Linked DNA regions of Kluyveromyces lactis. The protein of the gene in region 2 purifies or fractionates together with the protein of the main gene of each other region. This does not show direct contact. Links are inferred from orthologs where the notes say so. Each region holds a gene or a part of one and is shown on either strand. Other genes may lie near its edges.

Region 1 (4,412 bases), about 190 kb from region 2:
GAAGATCTGCTTTGCCAATGGTAAAGATGTCAACAAGCCAATGTCTAATTTCTCATTATCCTCAATACCGTACTCCTGGGGACAAATAAAATCGAAGAGAACCTTAGAAAGCTTGAACAATTCCCTTAATTGAATGAACTTCGGATCATCGAATGTGGAATTCGAAGAACGGGGTGATTTGGATCCGCTTTCAACACTTTCAAGAACCCATCCAAGAGATCCGACACTATTCGAACTTTTTGAATTAGAGGAAGATTGGTTAGTCATTTGGGCATTAGAAGAGTCTGGGATTTTGAAGTTGTTTCTAGCTAAAATATTGATGGGGTACCTGTCAACCAAAGAATGATGACAGACCTCTTCGTTTTCAACTTCAGTATCATCATCAGGCATGAAGATGTGCTCTAAAAACTGTCTGTTGTGAAGAGCATCGTACTTCATAGTATCATATAATTCACTAATCTTGGATGGATCTACCTTATCCACAGTAACAAACTCTTTGAACAGCTTATCCCAACGCTCCTTGAATAGCATTGAATCTTCTGCACAGCACCAGCATGTTTGCATTTCTTCAACGTTTTTTGTAGCAAAGTTGTGATCCATGATTTTTTTATGGTAGTTCATTAAATCAACAACTCTCTTTATGACTAAGTAAGGTTCAGGCATCTTAGCAGGCCAAGCAAATTGAGGTGGTGCCTCCTTCCCCATTCTTAATAATGGTTTTAGTTTCTTTTTCACCTTATCCATAAGGTCTTTAGCTGCATTGGAGTCATCTAGCAAGTCTTTTCTTATACTGATCTCGTCGCTACTAATTTCATCCGCACCGAATAGAGCTGTGGCCCATATTTGGGCCGAAACTAGAACCCTCCTTTCGGAAGAAGAAAATATCTTGATGTTGTGCAAGATGTTCTTGTTTAACAAATCAAAGTCTTGTCTCATCTGCTCACCTAATTCTTCAGCTTGGAAATGAGCGGAGTGTGTTGGCTCACCACCCCATTTGAGAATGAATTGAACCTTCTCCACTTCGTTGTCTTTGTTCAGAACTGGTTTTAATTGAATCTTAGTTCCAGGAAAACTGATTTTTTTTTCCAAAGCGTTTGCTAAGACAGCAAGTTTCGCTGGATCTTCAGCATTTTCCTCTTGTGCAATTTTGAGTGCTTGCAGAACAATTTGCAAGTCATTGATATTTCTTATGACTACTTCTTCTTTGTGACCTTTCAATAAAGACAAAAATATCGGAGAGGTAAACGAGTGCTTGAGTTTCTGTTTTGGTGTACGGTCTGCATGACGGATAACAGTAACTAGCCCCTTAAATACCCATTTTTGAGTTTTCTCCTCTTGAATTGCAGGAAGGTTCCGCTTTTCTAGGTCCATCAATTTTTTGGCGTTGTAGAAGGTATCTCTCAAAATTTTGGCACAGGCATCATAGTATTCTGTGTTATCTTTGACAAATGAAAACCCATTAACATCAATGACATAACTCTTGCCCTCAACACGTAATAAATCGAAACCACAGATCATTTGAGCGAACGTCTTCGACACTTGACGAGCCATTTCTTTTTCTTCTGGAGAAAGTTCAGTAATATATCTAATTTCCTTTCCGTGAGTGTTTCTGCGCACAATACCATCGACTACAGGGGATTTTCTGGTTTCAGCATGACAAAAAGTTTCACCTACAGTGTATGCTTTCACATCTTCGAAATTATCGGTATCCATGAATTTTTCGTAGATGTATGAACCTTCAGTACGAGGTTGAATCAAAGTAGGGTCAAATTCGGAAGATTTATTACCGACCTTTCTGAATAATCTACGCCCACCGCCTCCGTTTTTCGAATGATAATAGATGTATATATTGTGATCTTCACCATCCACAGGTTTTTCAACGAATGGTTTGGTCATCACCTTACCCTCAACTTCCAAGGTGTCATCGTCCACCATTCTCCAGTTGGGTTCTTGAACAGTTGAAACAATAACTCCACGTTCGGCAAGCATAGATTTCAGTTCATCATCAATTTTGGGACCACCATCTCTTGTAATTTCCAATCTAGGAGGGGTAGGTACGTTGCTTGCCGCCAGCAACCTGAGACACAACCTTCTATCCCACAATACTTTTTGCATAATCAAATCATTAATGATATATGGTTTTCTTAACTTGACATATTTGATAGCCTTTTCTAGAGGGAACCCATTGGAAAAGAATGATATTAGAAAGTCGCAAGTAGGCCAGTTTTCAATGCTTTCATCCAATATAACTTTATCGCCAAAAATTATAGTCTCAAACTCACCGTGTTCAATTAGTCTGTTTAAGATATGTCTGCATGGCTTGGATAACACTTTCGCATCCATGGCACAAACACCAATTTTACCAATCTTTGGTAGCTGAGGCTTGGACGAGGAAGTTGAAGCTTTCCTCGAAGAATTTGTCGAACTTGGAGTTGTTGATCCGTCAGTGTTGGTTGTGACAGCTTCATTAGAGACTAATGCTTGCGGAATGAAGGGGAATGCATGAGGTTCTTCCAGCATAGGAGATGGACTAGGCGATCCTTCCAGAATAGCAGAAACTGATGCTGATCCACTTTGGTTACTTTTCAGTCTTTGAAGCTTGTTACCATTCATGCTATCGAATGAGGTGCCTAGGACACTGGGAGTCATATGACGACCTGTCGAACCAGTAGAAGAAATACTAAGCGTTCTGACGAGCTTATTTGTCTCATCATCATCATCAGAGGTAAAACCAGCAGGTGGCAACTTCAACGACTTATTCTCACTAGAAGAGGTCTTCGGCGTGAACCCTTCAAGGATAGGAGCGATCGATTCCATAGCCTTTTTCGTATTCGAATCTAAAAACAGTGGAGGCATGGTATTTCCGTTGATTGCCTCTTGACCCTCATCAGAAATTGAACCTGGAGAAGACATGACTGGCAGTTCTGCAATTTGATTATAACCAATGCTGAAACTTCAGTTAAAATTATTTTGTAGATCGTTGCAATTAATCGATTTCTGTTATAAGCGGATGCATGGTACGATTATTCCCCATGTGTTTAATTTTGTATATAAATTTATATGTGAAGGATAATAGTGAAAACTTGATAGAAAACTGTGAGTAATTCTGAAGTAAAGACCAGTATCTAAGCAACACCTCCATGTGTTTCGCTAGTGAGATTTCAGACTGTGGTATGGTTACTATCTAATGGCATCTAATGGTGAAGTTACATAGTATCTTCTCTATCCAAGTCTAAGAATCACATTTGCAGGTTGATCCCCCTTATGTGTCACGTGATATTCTGATTTCTTTTTCTGTTTCAGCGATGAAAATTTCGAAGCTCGACGTTTTAAAGAAGCGATGAGATGAGATGAGATGAGATAGATACCTATCGTCAGCAGCTAATTACTGGATTCGCTTGTTGTTCAGTTAATTAAGCGATTGCATAAAGTCACAGAACAGTGCATTAGCAATCATGACAGTGGATGGATCGTTAAAGAAACGAAGAGTTGGTTCTTCCGGCGCTGTTAGGAAACATGCTTCCAGAATATTTTCTCCGTATAGAATTGTAGGTAATGTATCTACTGGAGTTCCTTATGCGATTGGTACCCTAGGTACGACCTTCTACATTGTGACTTCTGTTGGTAAGTCGTTTCAGATCTTTGATGCCAATAATTTGCATCTGCTATTCGTTTCAGATAAGGAGACAGAGGGAGACATTACTTGTTTGGCAGCGCATTTTCATTACGTTTATGCAAGTTTTAAGAATAAAGTTGGGATCTATAAGAGAGGTAAGCTAGAACATTTGATTGAATTACCTGATCCAAATACCGTGGTGACCAAAATTAACGTTTTCGGTGAATATTTGATTGCTTCTACAGATAATAATGTTGTTTATATCTATAAGAAAAATTCCCCATCTGATAAATTCGCTACTGAATTATACACCAATTTCACCATTGGTAAGTTACAAGGTGGTGATATTGTTGATTTGGTGCATTTACCAACATATGTTAACAAGTTGCTCGTTGTGACTAAGTCTAATTTCACCTTGTTTAACGTTCGGACCGGAAAACAATTGTACACTTCCGATGAGTTCCCCGATGAGATCACCACTGCTGAACCTGCACCTGCTTTAGACATCGTTGCCTTTGGTACATCATCTGGTGAAGTTATTTTATTCAATTTGCGTAAGGGTAAGAAAATCAGAACCATTAAAACGCCGACGAGAATTTCTTCAATCTCTTTCAGAACGGATGGTGCTTCTCATATCTCAGTAGCATCAACCAGTGGTGATTTGATCTTTTATGACTTAGATCATCGCTCACGTGTTCAAGTGTTAAAAGGCATTCACAAGGAAGTGAATGGTGGTGTTGCAAGAGCATCATTCTTGAACGGTCAGCCGATCGTTGTCACTTGTGGTGGTGACAAC
Region 2 (3,728 bases):
TTTTGTATCTTTTGATAAAAAAGACGAGGTAGTTCTCCTTGTCAACAATTTAGGTGGTGTGTCTAACTTCATCTTAACTGCCATCGTTGATATCACGAAATCTTTTTTACAAAAGAATTATGACATTACTCCAGTTCAAAGTATTTGCGGAACTTTAATGACATCTTTCAATGGAAATGGATTCAGTATCACGTTGTTCAATGCGTCAAAGTCATCTGGAGCTATCAAGAAGGAGTTCAGCGAAGTAAAATCTGTGCTTGACTTATTAAACGACCATACAGAGGCGCCAGCATGGCCAATAAAAGATGTCGAAATGGGTAAATCTCCTACATATGACGAGGGTATTCTCGAGGATGTTATTGACGTTAAAAAGGCTGGAACATACGACTTCGAGAAATTATCGGAGCTGTTGAAGGCAGGTGCCGATCAATTGATTAAAAGTGAACCTCATATTACACATTTGGATAACCAAGTTGGTGACGGTGACTGTGGTTATACGTTAGTAGCTGGCGCTAAGGCAATCACTGAAAACTTGGATAAAATATCCTCCAAGTATTTGTCTCAGACCCTTGCAGAAATTTCTGATCATATTGAATCCGCAATGGGTGGTACATCCGGTGGTTTGTACTCTATATTCATTTCGGGCCTTTCAAAAGGAATTATTGAACAATGCGGAGAAAATGATGCGGTGGACAAAGAAGCCTTCGCCAAATCGCTAGAAGTTGCATACGAGACATTGTGTAAATATACTAGAGCTAGGCCAGGTGATTCTACTATGATCGATGCCTTGGAGCCATTCGTGAAAGAGTTTAGTTCAACTCAGGACTTCCATAAGGCCTTTTCCAAGGCGGAAGGAGGTGCAGAATCTACAGGAAACTTAGAAGCCAAGTTCGGCCGTGCATCTTACGTGGAAGACACTGAAGCAATTCCGGACCCAGGAGCTATCGGTTTGGTCGAATTCCTCAGGGGTGTTGATTCCAAATTGTAGATTCATTTTCAAATGAGCTGCCTCCTTTATTCTTTCCACCTAGTTATTATTTTATAACAAACTATATACAGCTTCCTACATTAACCAAATTTATGACCTAGCGGTAATTGCAGTATCATACATTGTTCCTCCGGCAACAGGGGGGTGGGCCTCGACCTGATAGTTCTTCGTGTGTAAAAACTGTCTCTTTTCCGTTCACTCCCCCATCTTACCTCTTGTCAACGTGACGCGAATTGGAAACTTTACTAGAAATGAAAATGAAAAATCGCCAAAGTGTTTAAGATGTTGTTAAAACATGAACAAATAAGAAGACATATGAAACCGTTAACGGTAGGCAGAGTTGTTAGCCCATAGTTTACGTTAGACAGGTCAGTATTACTGAAATCTAGTGATCTTCGTCTTGGATACCTACTTTTTATTTCTTATATTGGGATAGTGGAGAATGAGTACAGATTTCGATAGAATTTATTACAACCAATCCAAGCTCGGTGGACGTTTCCGTCTAGCTGAAGGAGGTCTTGGTTGGAAGGCATCCGCTACAGGTGGGTCAGCCTCTACTCAAAATAATGAACCTTTGCTATTGGCTGCAGATGAGGTTTCTTCCGTTCAATGGAGTAGAGGATGTAGAGGCTACGAATTGAAAATTAGTACTAAGAATAAGGGATTGATTCAAATGGATGGGTTCCAACAAGAGGATTTCAACCTATTGAAGAATGACTTCCAACGTAGATTCAACATGCAATTAGAGCACAGGGAACATTCTTTACGTGGTTGGAATTGGGGTAAATTGGACTTAGCTAGAAACGAAATGGTTTTTTCATTGAACGGTAAGCCAACTTTTGAAATCCCTTACACGCACATCAATAACACTAATTTAACAGCAAAAAATGAGATTGCATTAGAATTTGACACCCAAAATGAGGCATATAATCCTGCAGGTGATGAACTTGTTGAAATGAGGTTATATGTTCCAGGCACAGTTGAAGAAAATGAAGATCAAGATCAAATCATGGTAAAGGACGAAGCAGAAGCAGAAGACGGTGTTAAGTCGGAGGTTAAGACGGAAGAGGGTAGTGAAGAACCAGACGTTCAAGAAGAGAAGACTTTAGCAGAATATTTCTACGAAGAATTGAGATCTAAGGCAGATATCGGTGAAATTTCTGGTGATGCCATCATTTCTTTCCAGGATCTGTTCTTCACTACGCCAAGAGGCCGTTACGACATTGATATCTACAAAAACTCTATCAGACTTAGAGGTAAGACTTATGAGTACAAGTTACAACATCGTCAAATAAACAGAATCTTCTCTTTGCCAAAAGCTGACGACATCCATTACTTGATGGTTTTATCGATTGATCCACCAATCCGTCAAGGTCAGACATCCTACCCATTCTTGGTGTTACAATTCCAGAAGGACGAGGAAACAGAAGTCCAACTAAATGTGGAAGATGATGAGTTCGAAAAGCTTTACAAGGATAAACTAAAGAAACAATACGATGCTAAAACTCACATTGTACTAAGTCATGTCTTAAAGGGTTTGACAGGAAGAAGAGTCATTGTTCCTGGTGAATACAAGTCTAAGTATGACCAATGCGCGGTATCCTGTTCATACAAAGTCAATGAAGGCCACTTATACCCATTGGACAATGCGTTTTTGTTCTTGACGAAACCAACCCTATATATACCCTTCCAAGATATTGCTGCGGTCAATATTTCAAGAGCTGGTCAGACATCTACATCAGCCAGAACATTCGATTTGGAAGTTGTTATGCGTGCCAATAGAGGTACTACTACTTTTGCTAATATTTCTAAAGAGGAACAACAACTTCTAGAGACATTCTTGAGGTCCAAAAACTTGAGGGTAAAGAACGAAGATAAGGAAGCAGAACAGAGACTGCAGACTGCCTTCGGCTCAGACAGCGATGATGATGATGTAGATATTAACATGGGTTCTGCAGGTGAGGATGAAGAATCTGTAGATGAAGATTTCCATGCGTCCGACGAAGATGACGATGTCGCTGAAGAATTTGATTCAGAAGCATCCGCCTCCGATTCAGAAGGTGAAACCTCAAAGTCTGAAAGACCTTCCAAGAAAGCCAAGTTGGAATGAAAAACTCATATATCATGTATTAGTACAAATAAATAAATAAAAAACTATATACACTCCTCGCGGTATTTGTCGAATAATGTGTCTTTCTTTTGTTTGATTGACTAGTTCTTTAATTTTTAGTACATCTAAATGGCTTGACAAAAGAATAAGGGTCCCATCCAGAGAACTAAACTTCAAAGGGTTGAGAGAAGGATAATTTTGCTAAGCCCGTAAAAGTATCGACTGCTTTTTTCATGCTTCAATCATTTAATGGTTCTGTAAGAGTTATTCTATGACTTCTGGTGAAAGATCCTTAAATCAAGAACTAGAATGATGAAATGAATGCACAAAGAAATTTTGATCCAAGATAACTCGCTTCATACATTCGAGGTATATTAGATATTAGTATGATAGCTACAGACGGTACCTTAACTATAGAATATATCATAGAGATTCCTGGAGTTGACGAATTGTCCGGGAATAGTTTCTTTTTCACTATAAGAAAAGATTCATAGCTAAACGACAATGAAGGGTCGGAATTGACTTTGAACTCAGCATGAATGACTCAGGATGACATGACAAATATAGATAAATACATGGCAAGCGAGTTTGGTAAAACGTGTGTTGAAGACAAAATTCCATTGGTTTAAA

Evidence for each region. The genes of interacting proteins can lie anywhere in the genome.
Region 1: the proteins of POB3 (region 2) and VIP1 purify together in Saccharomyces cerevisiae (affinity purification with mass spectrometry; 3 studies listed by BioGRID). This does not show direct contact. The link is inferred for Kluyveromyces lactis from reciprocal best matches to the Saccharomyces cerevisiae genes POB3 and VIP1.

What each region holds. Positions count from the first base shown.
Region 1 is NC_006038.1:250,992-255,403, forward strand, and holds the start of VIP1 (inositol polyphosphate kinase VIP1), read right to left. Parts: upstream 2,914-4,412; coding exon 1-2,913. Other genes in the region: rRNA-processing protein UTP21, read left to right, coding at 3,456-4,412. UniProt on the Saccharomyces cerevisiae protein: Bifunctional inositol kinase that acts in concert with the IP6K kinases to synthesize the diphosphate group-containing inositol pyrophosphates diphosphoinositol pentakisphosphate, PP-InsP5, and bis-diphosphoinositol tetrakisphosphate, (PP)2-InsP4.
Region 2 is NC_006038.1:444,702-448,429, forward strand, and holds POB3 (FACT complex subunit POB3), read left to right. Parts: upstream 1-1,430; coding exon 1,431-3,098; downstream 3,099-3,728. Other genes in the region: DAK1 (dihydroxyacetone kinase), read left to right, coding at 1-988. UniProt on the Saccharomyces cerevisiae protein: Component of the FACT complex, a general chromatin factor that acts to reorganize nucleosomes. The FACT complex is involved in multiple processes that require DNA as a template such as mRNA elongation, DNA replication and DNA repair.